2 linked regions of the Saccharomyces cerevisiae S288C genome follow. The protein of the gene in region 2 purifies or fractionates together with the protein of the main gene of each other region. This does not show direct contact. Each region holds a gene or a part of one and is shown on either strand. Other genes may lie near its edges.

What was found. The genes of interacting proteins can lie anywhere in the genome.
Region 1: the proteins of SPB4 (region 2) and NUG1 purify together in Saccharomyces cerevisiae (affinity purification with mass spectrometry; 6 studies listed by BioGRID). This does not show direct contact.

Annotation. Positions count from the first base shown.
Region 1 is NC_001137.3:160,992-164,785, reverse strand, and holds NUG1 (RNA-binding GTPase NUG1), read right to left. Parts: upstream 2,064-3,794; coding exon 501-2,063; downstream 1-500. Other genes in the region: PAC2 (Pac2p), read right to left, coding at 1-259; YND1 (apyrase), read right to left, coding at 2,344-3,794. UniProt on the Saccharomyces cerevisiae protein: GTPase required for 60S ribosomal subunit export to the cytoplasm.
Region 2 is NC_001138.5:144,413-148,574, reverse strand, and holds SPB4 (ATP-dependent RNA helicase SPB4), read left to right. Parts: upstream 1-1,640; coding exon 1,641-3,461; downstream 3,462-4,162. Other genes in the region: pseudouridine synthase DEG1, read right to left, coding at 116-1,444. UniProt on the Saccharomyces cerevisiae protein: ATP-binding RNA helicase involved in the biogenesis of 60S ribosomal subunits. Binds 90S pre-ribosomal particles and dissociates from pre-60S ribosomal particles after processing of 27SB pre-rRNA.

The DNA of each region.
Region 1 (3,794 bases), on a different chromosome or scaffold from region 2:
CTGACAATGCTTCGTAAAACGTAATTCTGCGTACACCTGGAGATTTAATCTTAGACTCCTTCAAAAATGATCCTGAATTAGGAATTTGAACGTCAAAATAGTGTATGTCATCTATTGTTCCAGAATGTTTTCCCCGGCTGTGATCGTCCCATTCCACCCCATAAGCTTTTACCGAAGGCCACGGCTTAATAACACCTATGAATTTGATGGTGCAAAAATATCCACCAATCTTGAGTCTGTCCCCAATTTCATAAGTCATGCTATCTCTGAAATTCGTTTTGCATTTTATATTTTGTATATCTTATATATGAAACATAATAAAAGTTGGAACTTTTTAATGATTTCTTTGTCCAAAGAGCAAAAAGGCAGTAAAACTAAAAAAAATAAGATGTATAGTAATGAGTTTAAAAGCACACCTATAATTTACAGTAATGTTATTTGATGATAAAGAAAAAATAAGAAACACCCCTTACATAAAAATAGCCTTACATATGACTTATTTATTCCATCATTGTATCTTGATCTTTGCTAGCATCTATGGCCTTGTCAAGAGAGCTAAATAATCCATCCAAATCAAATTCTTTGGACCACTCGGATACAATGGTGGATTCATTTGCTGCAATTGGAGCTTGTTTAGTGCCAGTGTTTATAGTACTTAGATTTTGTTTATCTTGTTGAGATGCAGCTGCCGATGTATTTGGTAAAACCCAACCAAGAATTTTACCATCCCTCCAGTCATTAAGTACCGAAAGACCAGCACTGGCAAGATTTGGAATACCGCCTTTCCCTAATCTACCTCTTTTACGAGCGACGTGAATTAAGAAATGTTTTGTAAACGTATCTGCATCATTAGCAGGAATAGGAGGAATTTCATACAGCTTTTTAAAGCTCTCTGTCATTTCATCTGATTTAGCTAGTCTCTTTACCAACATTAAGACAGCTGGATACGGATCAACAATGTGTTTTGCCGGTAGAGCATTTAGAAGAGCTAATTCAGCTTCATGTTCAACTTTCGATCTTTTCTTATTTTCGCTTGGGAAACATATACCAGGAGAATCTAGAATCTTCAACTTGTTGTCGATTTTGATCTCTCTCAGAGAGGTAGTAACACCTGCTTCATTACCGACTGGGCAAGCCTTTGATTGACCTCCACGGCGCGCCAAAAGAGCGTTGATAACAGATGATTTACCAACATTTGGATAACCGATAACACCCACTACAATAGATCTCTTCAAATTGCTGTTATTAGAGTAAGTTTTCAGCGACTCTAGCAGTGCACTTGCAGTAGTGGTTTGGCTTAGCTTTCTGTTGAAAGAAGTTCCGTTGACTGCACCAGAAGAAGCTCTTAATGGGATTGTAGGAAAACTAGACTTTAAGTAATTTAACCATTGTTCCAATACATGTGGGGGAATTAAATCAACTTTGTTCAGTATTAAAATCAGCCTTTTACCCTGACTTTGTAAGACGGCTTCTTCCACCTTTCTTGATCTTGTACTCTCTGGATCTCTGGCATCCAAAACATATAGGATGACATCAGAAGCATCAATAACGGATTTGAAAATCTTGTCATAAGCTTTCCTAGATTTTTCAAGTTCTGACTCGCCTTCTACATCTTCACCGTAGAAATCAATGTTATAATCAATGACGTCCAATTCATCATCACGAACATCTGCATCATTAGAGGGTGTGCCCTCATATTCAGCAGCTGCTTGCTGAGCAGACTCAACCAAAGCTGCTAATCCATTTTCATCGTCTTCTATCATGTCTTCATCCATTGCATCAACGCCTTGTTCCTTGGCAGCTTTCCTAGCCTCCAATCGTTGTTGTTTGGCAAGCTCTCTTTCCTCTAAGTCCTTCATTTTTTTGGCTTCTATTTCTTCTAAGATCTTAGCCTTATAAGGAAAGTTAGAAGGAATACCAGGGTCTTTCTTAGACCTTGATCTCCAAGTAACGTCCTTCTTAGCCATCTTCTTTTCCTTTTTTCTATGGGCAGAAGCCTTCTTCTTAATACCTTCCTTCAACTTGGTAGATGTTCTTCTAGATTGGCGCTTTCTGACTCTCATTTTATGATATTATAGTCGTGACTGTATACCTATATGCTTGTTCTTGTGTGTACCAAAGTATTACTAGTACAATTCCCTCTTGATATAATTAGCTCATCTCATCGCCTCGCTCGAAAATTTTCAGCAGCTGTGAGAAAAAAATTTCAAAAAAAAAACAGAAGCGACGTTTAGAGTGACGTGAATCACTGTTAATGCAATACTATGGCACCTCACTAGATATATACATATATTTATGTGAGAAGTATATGCGCTTCTATTTATGGCACATACACCACCACATTCAATCATATAGCCTACTGTCCTTAAATTTGGAAAAATCAGCCATAGAAAACGCAGGTCGTAAGTTTGACGGAGCGAGATTAGCGGACTGACTTGCTGTCCTTTGTGGTTCGTGCTCCCTTTGCATTGTGGCTGAACTCTTACCAAGATCAAACATACTGCTACTCTTCATCCTGTACACATCTTTGAAGCCATCTACGTCTGTTCCAAGTTCACCTTCCTCCAATCTGGAAAATGGATCTGATCTCCTTAGAAATTTCAACCTTCTCCTTATGCCTGTCTTAAAGTCCTTGGTAATGTTGTACAGACCGGAAAAACGTCTTCTGATTATGTGTGACCTATGAAAGATCAAGTAAAATATGCAACAAATAATTGCGAACCACATCAAAAATCCTTTATTAGAAAGGCTGGAACTTTGCTTGCGTAGTTGATCAGACTCCAGTAACTTGCCAGGTATGAATTTCTTACCAGTGAGCTTAGTTCTTCTTTCACTGGGCGCAATACCCACCATGAAGTCATCATTACCTGCCAATATGCTACCTGAGGCATAAAGTAAAATTCTGCCTAGTGTCCACGATAACTCTCGTTCTTCGACTTTTTCCACACTTTGAAATAAGGGCCTGTCATTGACATTTTCTGCGTCGACATCTATTCGAGGCATATCAAACCCTTCATGAAGTATATTAAGGACCCAATTGCCCTTAAAGCATGCATCTTTCAAAAAATTCTCCGGAATAGAATTATACACGCCTTTATCACTGTTCGCTAATATTTGCGTCCAATTGGAATTGCAAAACTCCCTTAGGCTTTTGCTAAATTTGTCAAAGTTGTATTCGCCCCCAAGTTTGAATACGTCGTTGGCAGTGTACCAGTACTCAGAAGTACCTATAAATTTGTCATTGGCAAAGTCTATTCGAGGAGCATGAACACCATTAAACAAGCACGGCTCGTCATCACAAGGCATGTTCTTTAAAAGTAACGGATAAATAGATTTTGTACATTGTTCGTAATTCCCAGAACCCGCGATGTGAAATATGGTATCTTTAAATTCAAAATCCGTGCTGCTTCCTCGCGGCATACATGGATCATTCAAGTTCCTTGTAGAGAAGTCATCATTTTCGTAATCATTTGTGTTTTCTGGAAGGGTATTGATCAACTGAGCCAAGTACCTTCTTCTAGCCTGATTGGCACCAAACCCTAACCACGTACTAACAAAAACGTCCCATTTCTGCAAATCTCCGTTAACACTCCTCAAGAAGATGGTGGCGATGTCATCTCTATGTCTAGCTATTTCTCCTGAATCATGCGGTGCAAACGCAATCTGAGTAGAGGCACCGCCCATGTCCATAAACCCAAATGTAAAATGGTCAGAGACCTCTGGATTATAGTCATTAAAGTGTCCATATAGATAGTTTAAGCCAAGCCAGCCATATAAACCTTCGGTTTCACCAT
Region 2 (4,162 bases):
TCTATTTTTAATTTATATATTTATATTAAAAAATTTAAATTATAATTATTTTTATAGCACGTGATGAAAAGAAATATAGTCTTCAAGGTTATATTATACAGGTTTATATATTATTTTACTTATTTTTGTTGTTCTTTTTCTTGGAGTATTTAGCATTAACAACTTCGACAGGTTCCATAACGCTTCTATCCTCTAGTTTCACATAGGTACCGACTACTTTACCTCTTCCATCGCCCAAATTAATAATTGTCTTTGAGAAGTTGTTTGTATTTGCTGTGGGCAAAACATCTTTAAAAATATTGCATACTGCGGCCTTAAGTTCGTAGTGTAACGTCAATGCTTCAGTAGCTGTCGTGAATTTTATTGCCTTATAGTCATCTACAGTAGGTTCTTGCCAATCCATTTCAGGAAATTTACAATCATATAACAATAATGGTATATCATTTGCCATTTCGTAAACAGGCCTTTGAGGGGTTTTCTCAATATCAGTCAGACGCAAGACAATTTCCGGCACTTCAAGTGATTGACCAACTAAGAAAAGAATGGCCATCATGCAACGAACTTGGTGCCATAGGAATGCTGAACCAACGAGATCAAAACAATAGAAAGTTTCAGAAAGGGGAAGAATTTTTGAGCTTATTATTGTTCGTTTAAAATTGGTAATTTGTTTTGAGCCATCAAGCTTACAAAAATTCCTGAAGTCTCTCTCTCCAACAAAATATGATGCGGCTTTAGACATTTTTTCAATATTAAGGTTTTTTCCATTAAAGATGTACTTATAGTGCCGGTGAACACAGCTGAATCTTGCGTCAAAGTTAGGTGGCGGTCTGAGGCAGACAGCTGATATACGAATATCGTCGGGTAGTAATTGATTTAAAACGTGAACATAGGGTATTTCCCTGCTGTCGTTGGTCGGATCCCGCTGTTCCTCATCTGTTAAATTGGAACGGACTTCTAACGATATAACTTGGTTCATGGCGCTAACTCCCTTGTCTGTTCTGCCACATCTGCTAAATTTATAGTCTTGTAAAACCATCGAGGGAACAAGTTTACACTTATTCATGGCCTCCAAAATGGTACCCTCTACTGTAGGCAACGGTGTGTATTCCTTCTGAACAGCTAAGCCATTGTAATTCCATCCCAAATAGGCAAATCTCAAGGCGATGAACCTGGTATTATGTTTAGAAAAGTCAAACTTCTTCGGAGCCTTTTTCGCCTTGCTTCTCGTAACCTCTTCTTGCGAAATTTTGCGCTTTTTGTTATCCTCGATGTGCTGGAATTTTTCAGAATGTGGCTTATTTGCGTTTTCTAGTTCAGTGATCCTTCGTATTAGCTGCTCTTTGGACCAGTTTGCGTAAATGGAGTCCTTCTTACTAACAATAGCATTGGTACCTGTTGAAATCGCTTTCATTTTCCCAACTAGCCTTCTAATGAAATTACTCATTCAAGGGAGGTTATAGTAGGGCAGTAAAGATTGCATGTGGGCACCTCGAGAATACTATATTATTCTTTATTTTGAGCCGGCTTTTCGCTTTCAAAAATTTTTCACTGAAAAACAAAGTGAGCTTTTCAAGATGAGCTGAGCCCATTGATTTGAGGTGTAGTAAGATAATATTAAAAGCTCAGCAGCAATAAAAACAATGTCAAAGTCATTGGAATGGGATAATCTCGGGTTTTCTTTACTTCCCTGGATAAGGACAGGACTCGATGTTATGGGTTTTGAGACCATGACTCCAGTCCAAGCATCGACAATTCCCATGCTTGCTGGCAACAAGGATGTAGTAGTTGATTCTGTAACAGGCTCAGGTAAGACCGCTGCGTTTGTTATACCTGTACTAGAAAAAGTTGTAAAGGAAGAAGCGAATACATCAAAATTCAAGAAAGCACACTTCCACTCGTTAATTATTGCTCCAACAAGAGAATTGTCACGCCAAATTGAGTCTGTCGTTCTATCATTTCTGGAACATTATCCTTCCGACTTGTTCCCTATTAAATGTCAGCTCCTGGTTGGTACTAATGAAGCCACAGTTAGAGATGATGTAAGTAATTTTCTGCGGAATAGACCGCAGATTCTGATTGGAACACCTGGTAGAGTTTTGGACTTTTTACAAATGCCAGCAGTAAAGACGTCAGCATGCAGTATGGTAGTTATGGATGAAGCAGACAGATTGTTGGATATGAGTTTTATTAAGGATACCGAAAAAATTCTGAGGCTATTGCCTAAACAAAGAAGGACGGGTCTATTTTCTGCAACTATGCGTAGCGCCGGATCAGATATCTTTAAGACAGGGCTTAGAAATCCTGTCAGGATTACCGTTAACTCTAAGAACCAGGCGCCCTCCTCTTTGAAATTAAATTACTGTGTCGTAAATCCTGCCGAAAAACTACAACTTTTGGTTAGCATTTTGAATAACTACAAATTCAAGAAATGTATTGTATATTTTCCAACATGTGTGTCAGTCTCCTACTTCTACTCATTTATCCAGTATTTGGGAAAGAGGAATATTCTCGTGAATGAAGTAGAAATATTTTCCTTGCATGGAAAACTTCAAACATCGGCAAGGACAAAAACTCTAACAGCTTTTACTGATTCGCTAAGTAATTCTGTTTTATTCACAACAGATGTGGCTGCTAGAGGTATTGACATACCCGACGTTGATCTCGTCATCCAGCTTGATCCCCCTACCAATACTGATATGTTCATGCATAGATGTGGTAGAACTGGTAGAGCAAATAGAGTGGGTAAAGCAATTACGTTTCTTAATGAAGGCAGAGAAGAGGATTTTATTCCTTTCATGCAAGTTAAAAATGTGGAACTTGAAGAACTTGATTTGGAAGTAAAGGGCATAACAACAAACTTTTACGAGGACTTTAGAAATTGGATACTAGAAGATAGGGATAGATTTGATAAAGGTGTTAAAGCATATGTTGCCTTTATTAAATACTACTCAAATCATTCCGCAACTTCAATTTTTAGGCTTCAATCTTTAGATTATGTTGGTATTGCGAAATTGTATGGTCTTTTCCGCCTGCCTAGAATGCCTGAGATAACAAAGTACTTAGCCACCGAAAAACAAGAAGGGATTTTCCCAGGGAATTGGTTGGTCGATCCCCCAGTTAATATGGATGAATATAAATACAAGGACAAAAAACGTGAAAAGGAGAGACAAGAAACATTAAAAAATATAAGCCTGATTAATGATAAAAAGAAGCTGAAAAGTGAGTTGAAGAAGAAGAATTTAGCGTGGTCAGATAAAACATTGACGAAAGAACGGAAACTCGAGAGAAAGGAAAAGATGAGTTTAAAAAGGAAGGCTATAGAGGAAGAATTGAAAGCAGAAGAGCTCGATGAAAATGCTGAAGAAGAGCGTATTAAAGAGGATTGGAAAGAAATCGTTTTACAGAATAAACGGAAGAAAGTTTCCAGCAAAGCTATCCAAGGCAATTTTGACGACTTATAATTATGGAAAAAAAGTTACCTTGTTCGTAGAATCACTCAACATTCTTAACCAATGGATGATCTTGTAGCATCATAGTGAGTAAGTAGATTATTTGTGTATGCATACTTAATTTAAAATATTCTAAAACCATTATACTCCATCTTAAAGCATAATATATATCTCTTGTTCAGCATGTACTTGTAACAGGAAAAGGATATTATGTTCAGAAATAATCAAACAGCCTCAATACTGACATCAGGCAGTCGACAGGAATAACTTCAAAATAAGTTCCGATCACAACGTTATTGTAATGGAACCAATGATCGCTCATTGATTAGTATTCATATTAACACTATATTAAAATTGAGTGTGAGTAGATGGCACAAAGACTGAGAAATAATCATCAAATTTAATGGAAGCCGAAATGCAAGACTTGATAATGTAATGGAATAAAGAGTGGCGACAATAATATGAAAAAGAAAATATTAATAACATTATATAGAAATATGGGCTTCCTTTTTTAGGTTATTACATCCTTGGGAAGAATTTTTAATATACTTTGATTCCCTTTAATAACAATGGAATGCCAACAATTATCCTAACATTGACCCGTTGGTAATTAGAGGTTAAGAAGTAGTGTTAATGAAGATTAAATATGGATCTTCTTATACTATATAAGAGAAGTATAAAACACACGCTGATTTGTGTATTATTACTTATGA